Arabidopsis thaliana: one gene and its partners. The protein of the gene in region 2 interacts with the protein of the main gene of each other region in a pairwise test. Each region holds a gene or a part of one and is shown on either strand. Other genes may lie near its edges.

Region 1 (6,811 bases), on a different chromosome or scaffold from region 2:
TTAATTTGGTTTTAGTTTGTATTTGTGTCTTTAAAATTGATACGGTTAGAACGAATGTATATGTGTTGTATTCTTTATAAATTAATAAAATGTATTTATAAATAGAATAAGATTTATCATTTTTATCTTATTATATAAAGTTTGGTTTTTAAAATGACCGGAACATGTGTCAATTAAAATATTAGATTTATACAAGTAAAAAATAATATCTGTTTATATATATTACATGTCAAATCTAAATTAAACAATATATTTAAAACAAAACTAGAAAATTGTTAACATTATCAAAAAATGAAAATTATCAAAAGACAAAATTATACACAAGTAAAAATAATATTTGTTTGTATATTAAAATAAGGGAGATTTATAAAATTACACTTTTTTTACTACTCTTTTGCAACAATACCCTTTTATGTTGTCCATTTTTAAAAATACCCCTTCTCTTGAACAAAATGACCAAATTACCCTCATCTAATAGAAACATGTAATTGAAAACTGAACTTTTCCCGCCAATTTTTTGGCGCCAAATTTTTTTTTTCCCGCCAAAAAGAAAAGTTTCTGCCAAACTTTTTTCCCGACAAAAAAAAACATTCCCGGCAAAAATTTTTTTCGTAACAAATTTTTCCTCAGCCAAAAAAATGATTTTAAAAATCCTTGTAAATATTTTTTGGCGGCAAATAGATTTACAAAGAATTTTAAAAGGGTTTTAAAAGATTTACAAGAGATTTTAAAAAGGTTTTAAAAGATTTACAAAAGATTTTAAAAGAGTTTGAAAAGATTTACAATGGATTTTAAAAGGGTTTTAAAAAATTTACAAGTAATTTTAAAAGGTTTTAAAATCCCTTGTAAATCTTTCAAAATACTTTTAAACTCTTTAAAAATCTTTACAAATCCTTTGTAAATCTTTTAAAGCCCTTTAAAATCCATTGTAAATATTGTAAAACCCTTTTAAAATCCCTTGTAAATATTTTAAAATTTTTTAAAACAATTTTAAAGCCTTTAAAAATCTTTAAAAGACTTTTGTAAATTTTTGAAATCCCTTTAAAATCTATTGTAAATTACCCTTTTAAAATCCCTTGTAAATCTTATAAAACCCCTATAAAATCCCTTGTAAATCTTTTAAAACTCTTTTAAAATCCCTTGTAAATCTATTTCCCGCCAAAAAAAAAAAATTGGCGGGAAAAATATGTTTGAAAACAAATTTTGGCGGGAAATTTATTTTGGAATATTTTTGGCGAAAAAATATTAATTTTTCATTTTGTTAACCTAAAACAATTTCCAAATAAGGGTAAAATGGTCATTAAAAATTTAAAGAGGGTAGAAATAAAATTGGATAAAACAAAAGGGTAAAGTTGAAAAAGGGCATCATGAAAAGGGCATTAGAAAAAAAAATTCTTAAAGGGATAATAATTAATATATTAAACTATTAAGTTGATTAACTGATTTTTTTTGTGTTAATATATTATCAAAACAAAACTTGTTTTTTTTTTTTTTTTTTTTTCATCCAAAACAAAACTTGTTTTATTTATTGATTTTTGTAAATAACTGTTTTTCTTAGCTTTTATTACTTCTTATGTTGGATGTTCGTGTTTGGTCTGAGAATTACCTCCTTAAGCACAAGTTGTTCCTTTATAAATGAGCTCCATTTAGGCATAATGATGTGAACCCTTTAGTTTTTGTTGGTGTAGACTCAAATTAGAGAGAGGAGTCGCTGAGATTGATAAGCTAGCAAACAGAATCTTCCATATCGACAAGCTTGGGAATCAACCTGAATTGTGATAGAAGAGAGAAAACATTTTCTAGGAAACTAAATTGTCTCTTTTGAATTTGAAATACTTTATTTGGAGCTTGTTTGCTTAGCGCATATCTCGAATTTGATTATATCTCGCAAGATAATTATGTGACGTTTTTGAATTATGTAAACATCTCAATAAGTGATATAGGAAAATTTAACTTACAAACAGAAAAATAAGCGATTTTTTCAATACATTCTAATAGTTGAATACATTAATTAGAATTAGGAGGGATACAATAATAGATAACTACAATTCATTCGTCATGTTCTAAAAATAGAGAGCAATAAGTACGACGGACAGTACCGTCACTACTTGGCGTCATGGTAGATAGGTAGTGGATCTGCTAGATATATGAGAACGGAAAGAACCAGAAGCTATTAGAGGCGGGAGGAGATATGTGGGGATGATTTCAGTGCAATTCCACGACGCACCATTTCCACTTTCGTAACACCTAAACGACCGCTTCGGCCGTATAAAATCGCAAATGTTTGGTCTCAGTGTATTTTTCCAATTTCCAAATACATCAATTCAAATTATATAATATCTAGTGGCAATTATAAGTATATCATATATTTTCAAAATTAATTAAAAAGATTACTAAATTATGTTTGACTACAACTATTATAATAGTTAAAAACATAAACAAAAACAAAGAAACTATTTTAATAAAAAAATCAAGTAAACATTAAAACATAAGCAAAAAATAATGTTAAAGAAATTATTAATTATTAATTTACTAATAATTAATACCTCTATAAATTAATTGTTAGAGGTTTAACGTAATTTATAAGGAAAACTAAAGAAGACTTTAACCCATAAAGAAAAAAACAAAGACTGAATTGAAGGCCCATATTTAGAAGAAGAGAAAGAAGACCCAAATATGATATAAAATCCAGCCCATTTATATATTTTTATTTTGTTTCTGGAAGGAAAATAAGAAAATGGCAAAAACGAAATAATCTGAAAAAGTAAGGTCTTTTACCAAAAAGGATATTTTTTTTATAAACAGAGCATAAAGTTTTCACTTTTCTTCTGCTCCTTTCTCGTCTCTGTCTTCTTCGTCCTCATTCGTTTTAAAGCATCAAAATTTCATCAACCCAAAATAGATTAAAAAAATCTGTAGCTTTCGCATGTAAATCTCTCTTTGAAGGTTCCTAACTCGTTAATCGTAACTCACAGTGACTCGTTCGAGTCAAAGTCTCTGTCTTTAGCTCAAACCATGGCTAGTAACAACCCTCACGACAACCTTTCTGACCAAACTCCTTCTGATGATTTCTTCGAGCAAATCCTCGGCCTTCCTAACTTCTCAGCCTCTTCTGCCGCCGGTTTATCTGGAGTTGACGGAGGATTAGGTGGTGGAGCACCGCCTATGATGCTGCAGTTGGGTTCCGGAGAAGAAGGAAGTCACATGGGTGGCTTAGGAGGAAGTGGACCAACTGGGTTTCACAATCAGATGTTTCCTTTGGGGTTAAGTCTTGATCAAGGGAAAGGACCTGGGTTTCTTAGACCTGAAGGAGGACATGGAAGTGGGAAAAGATTCTCAGATGATGTTGTTGATAATCGATGTTCTTCTATGAAACCTGTAAGTTCTGTTCTTGCTTTGGTGTTTGATTATTAGAAATGGGAAGAAATCGAATTTGAGGGTTTTGAAGAGAACATTTTTGGTAACTTTTGTTTTAGTTTTTGATTTGTGGTAAGTAACTTTAACAAAGTTGATGATTTGCGTTATGTGCTTTATTTTGGCTCAGACTTGTTGAATCTAATCGATTTTGGTTTGTTTAGTAAACTAAGGTTAGCTCTTGTTACTCTATGAGCAACTTCTCACTAGTTCATGTAGCTGCGTGGCTTATCTTGCCTTCTAAGTTGGTCAAATGAGTAATCTTAAGGGTCTAACTTAAATTATTCTCTTACAACTAATGGAGTCAAATCCTTGTGCAAATGGTTTATTTTCGTTTGGTCTTATTTCTTCTGTGTGTTGTCTGGAAGGTTTTCCACGGGCAGCCTATGCAACAGCCACCTCCATCGGCCCCACATCAGCCTACTTCAATCCGTCCCAGGGTTCGAGCTAGGCGTGGTCAGGCTACTGATCCACATAGCATCGCTGAGCGGGTATATTTCAGATTCTCTTTTGTATTTCCCTGTGATATACTATGTTGGTGGCGAGTTGGTTGTAGTTGAAAATATGTTTCGGATATAAAAAAATGTTAACATTGTGTAATGATCTCTTGATTTTATGGAGGGATTACCTAAAAGTTTGTTTTACTTTACCACAGCTACGTAGAGAAAGAATAGCAGAACGGATCAGGGCGCTGCAGGAACTTGTACCTACTGTGAACAAGGTCTGTACCTTTCACCCTAACCCTCACCTGTATATAATTTCTCTAGAAAGTTTGACACTTTCTGTTTCTCCCGTCTTCGTGTGCAGACCGATAGAGCTGCTATGATCGATGAGATTGTCGATTATGTAAAGTTTCTCAGGCTCCAAGTCAAGGTATATTCTTCTCTCTTCTGCAGTTTTAAACTCGAACTCTCTTTCTTGTGAATTATCTTATTACTCCCTATGCAATATGTTTAATCTGTTTGTTCATAAGATTAGAGATCTAAAGATCATGTCTTTCAAATTCTCTGGATGGATTTTTGGTGTTAATTCTGGTCCCACCATTACCTACCCTTCAACCAAATTTCAATCTGATTAGATCAGTTATTTAATGTGGGAAAGAATAAACAAGTCCAAAATGCTTTTGTTTTCTTTGGCATTTAGTCTCTTTTCACTTTTTGTTTTGTCATAGGGAGCCTAATCACAGTTTATGATTATAATACCATATTCAACAATAATTACAATCATCATGTTCACATTATAATATAGTAATCTGGTAGATCATCAAATGCTTCTTATATCAAAATGCAGTCGGTTACTTAAAGCTCTCGCAAGCGAAAAAAGGAAGTCTCTTTACTTTATAAGATAATGGAGACACTAAAGAAACAGAATGCAATGATGGATTTCTGATAAGATAATACATCTTTTGTTTTAAAAATAGAAAATGTGTTTCTTGTGAAATCTTCCATGCTCATCTAAAAGTAAAAGCTTTTTTTATATATATAATTTTCATGGGGTGAAGCTTATCACTTTCAATGATATCTGTTTCTCTTTGTCAACTTTGGTAGGTTTTGAGCATGAGCCGACTTGGTGGAGCCGGTGCGGTTGCTCCACTTGTTACTGATATGCCTCTTTCATCATCAGTTGAGGTAAAAACTTTTTAAGAACAAAAAGTAAAAACTTTAGTAATGGGGTTTTGATTCAGATTTTGCTTAAAATGTCAATAGGATGAAACGGGTGAGGGTGGAAGGACTCCGCAACCAGCGTGGGAGAAATGGTCTAACGATGGGACTGAACGTCAAGTGGCTAAACTGATGGAAGAGAACGTTGGAGCCGCGATGCAGCTTCTTCAATCAAAGGCTCTTTGTATGATGCCAATCTCATTGGCAATGGCAATTTACCATTCTCAACCTCCGGATACATCTTCAGTGGTCAAGCCTGAGAACAATCCTCCACAGTAGGATTTCTGCAATAAAGAGTTTGTACAGCTAATCCAACTGTCCAACATGGGTTTTTCTTCTGCTCTAATGACTCTGGTTTCTTCTCTCCTCTCTCACCCACTTGAAAGGTAAAAAAGTGAAAAAGGCTTTGTAGATGGAATCAATGTAGGATTTGCAGTAGAGGGAAAAAAAATGTCAAAAAGCTCAATTGATCAAGTATTATTGTAATCATTGTACCTTTATTTTAGGTGGACTTTGATGAAAGCAACTTTTTGTTTTCAAGACTTTAGTGGGAGGTTGAGGAAGGAGCTTGAAGGGTGTTATTTATTAGTAGTAGTAGTAGTGGGAAGTTGTGGGACCTTGTTGAGTTGTGTTCAAATTGAAGAAAAAACAAGTATTTGTAATTTGTCACCCCTTGTATTATTATTTATTTTGTATGACTTTGGAGTAGTATAATTAATTATCAAATAATATTATTAGTTTGATCTAGTAACCATCCTTTGTTTGATAACACTAGAAACATAAAGCAAATATTTTAGGAGAAAGTACCATGAATTGTGCTTCTTTTTTTTAGTGGTACGTGTACAATTTTAACTTCCAAATCTCAAATGCTAAGATATATACACTTTGGACAGAACATGTATCAATTTAAACTTGCATGTTTACATTTTGCATTGATTAGTGAAGACAAAATACAACTTTTATTAATATTGTTAGTTTTGGAAAAATATAGCCAAAAAAAAAACTCATCGAAGAATTAAAGTTATTGATATGATTATTTCATGTGATTCATTAAATCATTCTGCCAAATTTATTTTTTGAGTAAAGTTTGGAAAATCTTGTGTCTTTTGAAGTAACAGATAAAAGTTTTGTTTTTATTACAATTTCACATGAATCTTAGAGTGAGATAATAATAAACGAAGATGATTTGGCAATTTGTTTAAAATGGGTCTAAATTCCAAAACCAAGAAGACTACAAAGAGTATGCAAACTCAATTTGATGCGGTACAGGCGTCAAACATACATCGCTATAGCCTTTGCGTTATTGAACCACATAAAACTGCGGCAAACAGAACTTAGCTTTAGCATGCATCAAGATCACGGAATTGTGGTGGCTTAGGCTCACCAAGCAGTGTCTTATTCCCTCCTTCTGGTCCACACTTGATCCTCTTCGGGTTCTGAGTTCCATGCTGAAAAACAAAGATTAACATTATAAGAAGTTGGATTTGGATTTTGGATTTGGATTTTGGCTTAGAGGCTACGTTCTCCAATTTGGAAAGTTAACCGAAACCAGATTGTTTTCCCCCACCGATGTAATGCAATAGTAAGAGAAGAACATCAGGAAAGTATCCAAATGCAATGGGTTGTTAATGTCTTACCGGTGGCTTTTCTCCTTTTCTCAGCTTTTCAACAATTTCTACGACTTTCTCAGGTGTAACATCTTCCTGTGTATTGTAGCATAAGACAGTGTAAGTATG
Region 2 (6,546 bases):
ACTAGTCGTTGATTCAACTATATATGTTGCCACCATGAATATACTAAACAGAAAATGGAAGAAAGCTGAATAAGATTGGGGACTATAAAATTTAGCATATGTGTCCGATAATAATAAAATCCAAATATCGACCGACAAGAGCTTAGAGGAGTGTCGGTGTACATATCGATGGGATCGACCAGACCGTTAGAGAAAACAACCGATGGGCTGACAAAGATTCTTCGGATTTAACTTATGTTGTCATACGGTGGCTGTGACACATTCTTTTGACGTTCATTTCATAACTTTTATTTTATCGATATCAACCTAAACGAAACAAGTGTTTTCATAAATAAATAAAAAGTTAGTCACGTTGCAATAATGAATTATTATTTTTTTCATTTTTGGCGGAGTGGACTGGTGGGCTTAAGCAAATTGATCAAATTTGTTTTGACACTTTCTTAGTTTATATTAAAATTAATTTTAATTGCACGATGAAAACTTACTAGTCAGTCGCATGGATCTGACCTAACTGTCTCTGTATTTCAGTGCTTCAAAGCTCTTTTAAGTTTTAAGTCAAAATGCATTGTGTCGCATAGAGAGACCATTAAGAAAAAAATTCAATTAGTTCTTAATTAATATTTTAATAATAATTAGATAAATTGGGGCCTTTATAGTCTTCATTTGTCCTCAATAGCCATTATCCAATAAAATATTACCAGTTTCATTTGATATTTTTGTGTCATATTTTTACCATTTAAGACTTTTCACAATTCGAATAGCCATGAACAATAAAAATCTACGAGTTTCATTTGATATTTTTTTTTTTTTGCCGAATACATTTAAGACTTTCACTTCTACTAACCATGAACAATGGTCTCCCAATTACAAAATATATTTTTGAATCATTGGACTACCATAAATGATTAGTGTCTTTTTTGTATTACATGTAACGTAAAAATACCATTCTTCAAGCATTCATAACAATTTTTTTTTTGTCAAGATACATAACGTAAATTTGAATTTCGTAATAACGATACTAGCACAATTTAGCTTAGAATATGTCCAATTTTTTTTTTTATTTTGAAAGGAGATAGATATATAAATATTATATACATGGATATCGGTGAAATTATGTTTATTATCTATGCCTATCGTTTGATAAAACTTGTATATTTTATGGACGGTGACACAGCCCGGTTCACTATGCCTCGAGCCGTATAATGATCATAAAGAACAGAACTGGTTACTATTATCAGGTTCAACAAATCCATTTTTTGATATTTTGTGTGGCTATCAGTCTATCACATAAAATGGAAAAAGAATTAAGAGAAAGAAGAAAAACAAAACAATGACTTGTAATTAAAGTGCAATAATTGATTGACTTATCAAATTTATTAGAAGAATAAAATATTTACGGAATTTAGAAAAAGCTAGTTGAAAAGAATAAGGACCGTTTGGTATAAAGAGATTGTGAAAAAAGTCACAAACACAATAGGTCCAGAAACGGTGACGTGACACACAGATCGAAACTCAGCATCGATCGACGATCGTCATCATATACCATTTATCCCTTTAGCCTCAAGCCACAAGAACAAATCTTATTTTATAGTACTATTTTTAACCGAAAGAATCCGATCGACAATGAAATAAATATCGAACTCATATCAAGTGCTAACTCTAGGTTTTGCCATTAATTTTGCGTTTTCCAATCGAGCTAAAAACAATTGATCGTCTATTAAAAAAATAAAAATTCCTATGATCGCTTTTTCGATCTAAAACTAATTTTTAGTAATAGTAATACCTGTTAAAGTATAAATATCCCTCCCAAGTACTGAAAACTCAAACCTGAACGAGCTAGCCTAGGACTCAACTTTTATCTCGAAAGAATCTTTGAATATTACTTTTGAAAATAAGTGAGTCTAATCCTTGAAGATATATGTTTTAAAGTTTTTTTTAGCAAATGCGATTGAGAAAACATATATTTTAACTTCAAGATAATCATTACTGTATGAAAGTATGGATAATTAATTAGAAGAAACGTTGTTCAAAAATTGGTTAGTCGTTTATAATTACCAAAATAATAAAACAATTATTAATACGCTTGCATAGACTAATTAGTTTTTTTTTTTCCTAAGCTTACTAAAGTGATCTGATAAAAATCATGTATGGAAGCATGAAAGTAATAAAAAAATATCAAGTTTCAAAATTTTAGTCTTTCATATTTATGTACATTTATATATATACGCATGCGTAGACTATAATCAGTCATTTTCGTGTTTTGTCTATACAATTACTAAAAACTGATTTAATCAAAATCGTGATATGTTTTCTATTTCTGACCACTTAATATAAACGATCGATTTGTAGAATTTGATGGCAACCAATCAAAGGTTACCGTTAGATATAATGTCTATATATAAATAGTATCCCCTTTTGGCATCTTGCATAATAGTACCAAACACCTATCTAATCTCAAATTAAATATTTAAATATTTATAAAATGAGGATCATTATCACTTCTTCGAAAAGCTAAGCAGCAAAGAAACAAATCTCACAAAGACAGTTGTTCTTATAATAATAGAAGAAAATTGAGGGATTAGGAACACTATTATTACAACATCTTTCTGTCAAATAAAATATTTAGCTTAAGGAAAAAATTTAAAATCAAGATTATTTAATTAAAAAAATCACATAGGAATGTTATGATGATATAAGTTTTTGTCTTCAAATGTCAACTAAATTCCGGTAATTTCCACACACTTGTCCGTACTTGCCTATATAAACATACACACCCTCATAAACATATATCAAAATTTTACACTTATGCTCTTCATATCACATACAACAAACTCATATATATAAAAACTTTAACCTTCGTATAGCAACGATCTAGTAGAAAGCTTATACTAAAACTTTCTGATTCTCTTAATATGGCGGAGGAGTTTAAAGCTACGGCATCGATTTGTGGTGGCGGAGGTGGCGCGTGGTGGAACTCGCCAAGGAGCGTTATGTCTCCTTCGGATCATTTCTTGTCACCATGCTTCGGAGCGGCTATCACTTCCAATGATTTTAGCTCGCAAGAGAATCATCTCAAATCTAGGATGACTTGTACGGACAACAACAACATCGTTTTCGGGCAGCGAGAGGCGGATTCTGACAGTGGAGGAAGTACCGTGACGATGGACTCGACGTTGCAGATGATGGGTCTAGGGTTTTCCTCAAATTGTTCTTCAGATTGGAACCAAACCATTTTGTAAACTTCTTAAAGAAAAACCCTAACTTAATTTTTTTTGTTCACTTTCTTGATGAACAAGATTGAAGATTTTTAATAATAATCATGAGATCTCTTTTGTTCTTGTTTTGTATTTTTCAGACAAGAAGACTTAAACTCAAGCTTCATAAGGAGCTCACAAGATCAAGATCATGGCCAAGGATTCTTATCCACAACTACTTCACCTTATATACTTAATCCAGCTTGTTCTTCATCTCCATCAACTTCTTCGTCCTCAAGCTTGATACGAACCTTTTACGATCCCGAACCAAGTCCATACAACTTTGTCTCCACCACAAGTGGTTCAATCAACGATCCTCAACTTTCTTGGGCTAATAAGACAAATCCTCATCATCAAGTAGCTTATGGACTAATTAACAGCTTCTCTAACAACGCAAACTCTCGACCCTTTTGGAATTCTTCATCAACCACTAACTTAAACAACACGACGCCGAGCAATTTTGTAACCACTCCGCAGATAATATCTACTCGTTTGGAGGACAAAACCAAGGTAAATTATCTCATATATGTCAAAATAATTTTGCTACTATATAAGTTTTGTGGCTATATTATTGAATTTATTTATTTATTTATTTTTGTTGAGAAGAATCTGAAGACAAGAGCTCAGAGTGAGTCTTTGAAGAGAGCAAAGGATAATGAATCTGCGGCGAAGAAACCGAGAGTCACCACGCCTTCACCGTTGCCAACTTTCAAGGTACATGATCATATTTCAAGATTTGTTTAAGACCTTTTATTTTAATTCAATTTCTTGGTGGATAAAATGGATTGTATATGTAACAGGTGAGAAAAGAGAATCTAAGGGACCAGATAACTTCATTACAACAACTAGTTTCACCTTTCGGAAAGGTGAATGATTTATGTGTTTACTTTATTTTATATGGCTTAATATATACAACCAAAAGCATTTATTTTCCCTTGGTTATGTATTGAGCTTCTTAGTTTGTTTATTTTGTATATCTTTGGGTTAAACTTCAGACAGATACTGCATCTGTTCTCCAAGAAGCTATAGAGTACATCAAGTTCCTTCACGACCAAGTCACTGTACGTTTCTTGTGATTTCTCTCCTAACTCACTGAATTCATAAAACCCTAGAAATGAGCAAATTTTTAAGCATATTAATGTTTTTTAAATACAGGTTCTAAGCACTCCATACATGAAACAAGGTGCCTCGAACCAACAACAACAGCAGGTTCAATACACGATCTAGTGTTTTAGTTTTGTCCAAGTTGGAGTCTTCGTGCTATAATCATGGTTAAATAAGTACTAATTTCAGTATGGATTCATGTAGATATCTGGTAAATCGAAGAGTCAAGATGAAAATGAGAATCACGAACTAAGAGGACATGGTCTATGTCTCGTCCCAATATCAAGCACGTTTCCGGTGGCTAACGAAACAACAGCCGATTTTTGGACACCAACGTTTGGGGGCAACAATTTCAGGTAGAGAAGGTGAATTACGTATATCATACGGTTCTTAATTAGCATTAAGATATTATTTAATAATGCTTAGCATAAAAATAAAAGAAAATAAAATTCACAAGTCATGATCAAAGATTGAATCATTACTTGGAGAAAAAGTAGAGATGGGAGAAGAAGAAGGTGACTCTTCAAAGGTGGGCAGAGGCAACAATAGTGTTGGAGGGGACCAACTACGAAAGCAAGAATGATTTAGGGCTTAGAAAATTTGGGATAATAATCTATCATAAACTAATAGATAGATATATTTTTAAAAACATTAACTTACATACTCTCATGTTATATATGTAATAATTAACCTAAATTTCACTTTTTAATTATATATAGGTGATTAAAGAGAGAGGGTTGTGGTTGTCAAGACGGATGGGAACATATGCTAAATTCAGCTTGGAGACTCTAAAGCATAACAATAATTTTTAATGTATTTTCTTCTTCTTTCAATATTTTAAGGGGGGTTTATTGCTGAATTTAGCATATATGGGTTGTTTTTATGTTGAATAACCTTTTGTTCCTGTCATTGTTCTTGAATATATATATATACATATTTTTGTCGTTGGTAACATCTTTGTTAATCACTTATTAAAGTTAGAGAACATAATAATTGGTGGTTTGTCATATGAAGTTCTTTGTTGTTTTTATAGAGTTGTTTTTTTCATGTTTAATCATAAATTTTAATTTTAACAATCACAAAACCAACACTTATAACCTAATTGTTTGTGATAGTGCCGTTACTCTTACATAGTTACATTTATGTCCAAACTTGCAAACTTGCACATTTTCTGGATACATGCATGTATTTATGTTCGTACATATCCATGTATAAATATGTGTCCATATGGATTCAACTTTTTGTTGGTTCGATTAAGAACTATATATTATGGAAATTCAGTAGTGGAAGCCAGTAGAATAGCGGCCCACACTGCTTCCTACTTTATGATTTGAATATACATATATGATTTTAGTATAGATACCGATAAATATATACTGATTTGCATTCAACATCATTTATGTTTACAGAAAAAAGATTATTCATATGTTACTATAAAGACATATATGTGTGTCTAATCTATCAAATGCCACTCAAAAATATATGCAATGCAAGAACAGAATTCTTACCTTAGATCTCAATATCGATAAAATACTCAACAAGTCCCATGCATGATTAGTACGTATTTATTATTAAAAAACAAAATCTCAAATTATGCCCTATTGGAAATTAATGTTGGTTTTCTCCAAAGTACAAACAAATTAAAAGAACATAGCATGGAGTCAGGATTCAAGATTCTAAAAAGTGAAAATGGAGTTAAGGTCGAAAGTGAACGTATGGAACGGTGAATCTACACATTCAAATATGGTTCTCGGAACCATAAATTAAAGAAGTACTAGGCTTGATTACCACAACATGTCTCTGGCCATTGGAAAGAGATCATTCCGCGACTAAAGGAGAACCGGCAAATGTTTGTTTATGAATGTTTTTCATGTTGCAACTAAGATTATCGTCGTTGATAGAGAGAAGTTAAGATTTGGTTGCAACTCATATTCGGCTATATCCTTTGTCTCAGGATCAACAAAAGTTACCGTCCTACGTAGATTTTTTGGATTCATGAGGTGCTTCGGCTCTTGTCATTGGTTTAATATGTAACTTGGATTCATGTAAATTTAAGTTGCTAAGTTTGTGAATCTAGTGACATCGGTCCCTCTTCTAGTCTTCTTAAATCTTAACCAATAAATTACAGAAAATGGTCGATTACAACTATATATGTGGTGGCTCATATAAATTTTTCGTACCTAACAAA
Region 3 (5,778 bases), on a different chromosome or scaffold from region 2:
ATAACAATAATTGTGATTAGTATTATAAGTTTATATATATAACTCATCGTGGATTTAGAAGAGTTATGTCAATGGTCGATTGGTCGTATGTTTTATTGTTTTTACCACATGGAAAACTAACTATTTTATGTATCAAGAATTGTAAATAACATGACATTTGCAGATAACAACTATTTGGGAGAATTCTAAAATTCGCTCGATGATTTAATTTTAAAGATCTACACTAATTGTGCTACGTTGAGCAATTCTCTATTACAAGTTAATTGTGCTACGTTGACCATTTCTCTATTTAAAAATTAAACATATACAAAAACTCTTTACAACTATCAAATATTCTTTTTAAAAAATCAAATAAAAAAAACACCAAAGTAACACATCCTTCGACTTAGAAATCACAATATAAAATCAAAACTTTCGACTTCGAATCAAAGCCCCGAGTTCGTTCAAAAACCTCAATTTCACGAATATGACTCATGAGGACCTACTAAGAATAAAGCTAAGGAATCTTTATTCAAATAAACAAATACCACGCGAAACATTAACGCGTAAATACACGCACGTCAATCTCACGCGGTGGAACGCTCGGCTCTTTTAGTATGGGCTTTAATGGGCCTGTATAGATTAACTGGGCTAATATTTTTAAAAGAAGGACTTTTGTCTTGAGCCCAAAACGAAAATGAGTAATTTGTTTTTGTTTTCTGATAAAAAAAGAGTTTTCCTCAAAAGAAATGAGTAAATGACATATTACTCAATAATTTACTGTAAAAATGACCAAATGGTTTGACTTTGACCAAAAGTTGGAAAAGATCAGAGTTGTTACCAGTCGATTATCTCTGACGTATGATCTTGTCGTTCACTCTTACACACAATATTCAAATAATGTATCATTGCTTTCTGAATAATATGTTTTTGTTTATATTGTTCTTGTATTACAGAATTTAAACATATTGATCGGATTTGTTTTGCTTATGATGTTTAGATTTTTCCCGATTTTTTAATAAGCTTTGAATACAAAAGTTAAATATATGCGGAAACCGATATATGAATTAAAATTTCGAAAAAAGTAATGTGAGTGAGATAGGCTGAGTTTTACGTATTACAAGCGAGACCGATGTGTCAATGAGACTCTGACCATAGGCTTCCTTTTACGATGCTTTTTTACCATTGGAATATTAAAAAAATTCTGCCACCTTTCTCTTCGTTGTTAAAAGTAAAACTAGAGTCATTATACAATAAACAAGTATTTTTAGTCAGTAGACGTTGATGCAAAAGAATACCTTTAAATTTATGTTGTAGCTGTACCTTTTTTATCAAGCGTAGATTTGTCAGACGCATGGACGATATGAGAGTATTAATAAAACGTATATGCAAAATATAAAAAGAGGTTGCGAAGTGTGAAGGCGACTTCTTCTTAGTAATAATGATGTTTCATCTTTAATTGTATTTGTTTCCATTTCCGTAACCATTCTAATACGGACGTCTAAAGTCAATTTCTTAACATTATTACTAAGTGGGAAACATTTATAAATGGAAGTAAATATTACTCATGGTTAACTTTTTTCGTTTTCGGGGTCAAACTGAACTCATAGGTTAGTTTATATTCAAAAATTACAGGCAATAATAACCTAAACCTTCATGTGACCAATAATAATGTCATCGTAGAACACTGCGAGTTTGCTACTAATCTAAAATCCAAAAAGTATAAGATAATAATTAAAACTCCCAAAATTTCACCTCTTTGGTTTTTCTTATTTATATCACGTCCCTTTTCTTTGTAACCTAAAGTTTACACACGTTACTAGGAGTCAAAAGTCAACTAAGTTCGACTAAGATTTGACCACATGACTTCACCGTTGATTTGCTCGAAGATCTGATGAACGGCTGTCGCTATCTCATCTGCTGATCCTAATTTACAACCATCTTCCATCTGCATGCACAACACCATTCATTTCTCATCTCTCCAAAACTAAACAAAAATTAGCAACTTACTAAAAAATTAAACTAAAATTTTCTAAGCTTAGAGTGAAGGAAAAAAATACACACACACACACATAATTGTAGATATTTTCTATTATGGTTTCTCATGCATTTTAATTTTCTTAAGTACCAAACATTTCAAAATGAAGATTCCTTAATTTTCCTCAAAAAGTCAAAAATTGCTAGTTACATAAGACTATTTATAATAATGCTTAAACTAGTGGAAATTGAAACTGATAGTTTAAGAGATGATTAAGAAAATTACCTTGAGATTGAAAGAGTAGATGACAAAGTCAAAGGAAGAAGAGATAGTGAGATGTAGAATCGCAAGCTTTAGTTCTTCAATCGAGACAATAGCTTTTAAGATCTGTCGTTTTCCTCTCTTACACCGAACTTTTAAGCTCACATGGTTCTGTATCACCGTAGCCTCCACTTCTGTCGTATCTCCACCGCCGAATCTCGCCGTAAATCCATTTTCCGACGTCGTAGACACGCTAGAAATAGAAGAGTTAGTGCATGCAAGAGACGAAGATGAAGAACACGACGCCGTTTTAGGAGTTTCATCAGTTCCATCCTTTCGTTTCTCAGCTTCTAGAGATTGCAAGAGTTGCTCTAGTTCCTTGATGAAATCTATTGCCCCTCCTACAATCGAAGCTTGGTCACCCTAGAGAAACAAAAACGTTTTCTTGTTAAAGCTAAATTACGTTCTTGAAAAGAAAAAAAAATTACGTTCTTGTTTAATGAACCCTTAAAACATTTTGTTACCCGTTGAAGAAACGAAGGAGGCATGAGAGATCGGAGAGAGTTTAAGTGTTCGTTCATTTGTCGTCTTCGATTACGTTCGACGGCAATGTGAGTCATCCTTTGGTTTTCAACTTCGTCTTTGTTCTTTGGAGCTCTTGTACGTTTCCGTTTTCTTTTTTCTTTGACCGTTACTGCTCCGTTTTCTGTTCTTGGATCCTTTTCCGGGTCATCTGTTTGACCCGGATCTCTTTTGATGTTTGTTTCAAGGGTGAGACAGCTCTTTGATTCTAGGGTTTGGATCTGGAGAAGTGATTGGAGAAACTGATTTGGTTCTGTTGTTGTAAAAGGGTGTTCTATGCATTGAAGCATTTGCAGAAATGGTATCTTCTCTTCCATAGTAGTGTCTGAAATCTGACCAAATTGGTCTTCTAATTCACCAAAACTCATCAATCCACTCATAATTAGCTTCAACAAAGAAAAAAACAAGAGAGATTAGTTTTAGGATACCATTTTGACAAGAAAACAAAAATCTACTAAATCTTAAAGTGGGTATGAGAAATAAATGGTTTGGTAGGTGAATTCTTAAGACAGAACAAAGAGGATGTACGAGGAGAGAACATTAAATGATGAGAAATAAAGAATGTCGCAGCGAGAGGAAACAATAATAAAAGTAGCAGAATTTGGATAAGCTATTGTAAAATGAATTTACAAGAATTTTGCATTGAATGTTAATCATATGAAAGGAGGAGGAAGAAGAAGAGTAAATGCACAAAACAGTATTCTGTATATGAGAATAAATTACAAGAGAGGCTTACATGAGAAGCTTTATGAGTCTCTCTAATGGAACTGTTTTCTGAAGTAATATTTTTGTAACTTTGAGTATTTAGATATAGGTGTCTTTCCTCAAATAGTCTTCAAATTAACAACTTCTGCTGCTGCTTCTTCTTCTCTCTCTTTCCTCTAAACTAAAAACATTCCTTTAGGGGTTGACACTTTCTAAACTGTTCTTAATAAATGCAGTTTTCCACATATATAAAAGGAGAGAAGACGAGGAAGAGAAGAAGAAGAGGTTCGGTGCATATATGTATAAAAAAACCAAGGGTGAAAAATAAAAATACTATACTATAGCTAAATTATCTAGTTATATATATAGTCGTCGATATTTAGTATTTTACACGCACACATACAGTAATATATGTATGTATTATTAATTAAATATTTAATCCGTGAAACAGATAACCTTTCTTCTTCTTTTTTTAACCTAAATTTTGGACAAAAATATACGTGGGTGTCCTGTCCTCCAGATCAAATATTTATGACCTTGTCCTCTTTGGGCCTTCAAAATAATTTTCTTTCGGGACAATACTCTTTGATTTTTGTTCTTAACGAATTTTACTTTGGTAAATATAAGGAATTCGATAGACTTTGATGAAGGAATTCGATATTTGGCTCGACCAAAAAACATATAAAATACTTTATCTATAAAAATAATTCTACTTAAACAGAAACTTTGAAGATTCACACTAACATATATACATGTTTAAATCATCATCCAAAAATCTTCTTCTGTGTTTGGATATGTTGGCTTCATTGGTGTTACATATATATTAACCGTTTTGACCAAAAAATAATAATATATTAACCGTATTTATTTCATTTTCTTACCATATGTTTTGCTACAACTATTAGAAATTAAGTGTATATATATAATATAACTCTGTATAGACACAATGAGATTGTGCGTTGGGACTAGGAGGGGTCCCGTAAAAGTATTATTGAAGAGGGCAGTGAAGACAGTTTTGTTTGGTGGGGACACGTCTTCCATGAACAGTACTTCTCACTCTTATTAAGACAGTTTCAGGATCAGAAAAGAAGACCAAGCCTCTCTTGCTTCTTCCTCTTTTTCTTTTCTATCTTTAGAGAATTAGTTTTCTCCAATCCAAAAAGGGTTTTCATGTCTTTTACTTCAACTTTTCATTTACTTTGTTTTTTCTCTTTTAATCGAGCTAGAACAAGTACATTATGGGTCTTTAAGTATTTCCCAATATGGTGTGTTGACTTAGTGCTATAAAAATTAAGAATGACAATAGTACCCTTTAAGAAGAGGACGAACAATGCACATGGCCAAGGCCAAGGCCATGGGTGCCAAACGTTAAGTATCCTAATAATACCAACTCGATTTCAGTGCCTTGGTCTGTAGGGCAAACAACAGTACTCTCCCCCAAAAGAAATTTACCTTTTTATTTTTGTTTCCTTCTCCCAAACTACAGATTTTTATTCTACCTCAAAGTCTTTTAAGAACTTGGATTTTGTACCATGCATAAGTGAGTCCAAAACTCACATGCAACCTAATAAAATTGAATAGACTACATTTGAAAAATAGGCCAAACGAATTATGAAGAAAGGAAAATAGATGTATGAAAATATAACACACAAAATGTTTTTATATTATTATAGATAAAGAAAAAAAAAATTACAAGTTTTGTCTAGTACATTATCCACCCAATAAGAGCATGTCACATACCAATTGAGAAAAAAGTGGAGTAAATTTTTATATATTACTTAGCTAAACACAAGAATATCTATAATATATATCATTATCAACATATCATATGTGGATAGCTATTTCTTCAGCCATTATAGGTTCGAATGGAAATCAGTTTGCATTAGACACGCGAACCACATTTTCTTAGGTAGTTCCCTACGTGTAACATTAGACCCGAAATAGCACTTATTTATCGTCAAAGTAAGTATGTAGAATATGATTTTACAATTTATAGTTCTATGTACCATCCATATAACCGAAGATACGGTACTAGTTTGTTTAAGAAAAAAAAAAGAAGATACGATACTAGTAAATGAGAACATATAGGAATTTAGACGAGCGAGGAAAATGGTAATGGGTTTACCCACTTGTGTTTAGATCAATTCCATGAATTGTCTCTCAGTTTACTTTATTCGATTTGACTTGTTTCCAGAAGGCATGTAGAGTTGACAAGTTAAATATGTCTATACAATCTCACATCCATTATGCAATTGGCCACAAATAAAAATTCA

The links.
Region 1: the proteins of AT1G61660 (region 2) and UNE12 interact in a two-hybrid assay, tested with the Arabidopsis thaliana proteins (one study listed by BioGRID).
Region 3: the proteins of AT1G61660 (region 2) and AT4G01460 interact in binary tests that used the Arabidopsis thaliana proteins (3 or more experiments, as listed by UniProt).

Annotation. Positions count from the first base shown.
Region 1 is NC_003075.7:1,136,511-1,143,321, reverse strand, and holds UNE12 (basic helix-loop-helix (bHLH) DNA-binding superfamily protein), read left to right. Parts: upstream 1-2,781; 5' UTR 2,782-3,015; coding exon 3,016-3,378; intron 3,379-3,782; coding exon 3,783-3,905; intron 3,906-4,069; coding exon 4,070-4,135; intron 4,136-4,221; coding exon 4,222-4,287; intron 4,288-4,961; coding exon 4,962-5,042; intron 5,043-5,120; coding exon 5,121-5,354; 3' UTR 5,355-5,835; downstream 5,836-6,811. Other genes in the region: AT4G02580 (NADH-ubiquinone oxidoreductase 24 kDa subunit), read right to left, coding at 6,416-6,523, 6,713-6,778. UniProt on the Arabidopsis thaliana protein: Required for ovule fertilization.
Region 2 is NC_003070.9:22,752,538-22,759,083, reverse strand, and holds AT1G61660 (basic helix-loop-helix (bHLH) DNA-binding superfamily protein), read left to right. Parts: upstream 1-2,712; 5' UTR 2,713-2,912; coding exon 2,913-3,235; intron 3,236-3,355; coding exon 3,356-3,764; intron 3,765-3,860; coding exon 3,861-3,968; intron 3,969-4,054; coding exon 4,055-4,120; coding exon of another isoform or gene 4,121-4,204; exon of another isoform or gene 4,205-4,249; coding exon 4,250-4,315; intron 4,316-4,409; coding exon 4,410-4,463; coding exon of another isoform or gene 4,464-4,481; exon of another isoform or gene 4,482-4,562; coding exon 4,563-4,714; coding exon of another isoform or gene 4,715-4,718; exon of another isoform or gene 4,719-5,077; coding exon 5,078-5,081; 3' UTR 5,082-5,473; downstream 5,474-6,546.
Region 3 is NC_003075.7:618,736-624,513, reverse strand, and holds AT4G01460 (basic helix-loop-helix (bHLH) DNA-binding superfamily protein), read right to left. Parts: upstream 3,824-5,778; 5' UTR 3,537-3,823; exon of another isoform or gene 3,187-3,536; 5' UTR 3,181-3,186; coding exon 2,743-3,180; intron 2,642-2,742; coding exon 2,243-2,641; intron 1,928-2,242; coding exon 1,817-1,927; 3' UTR 1,515-1,816; downstream 1-1,514.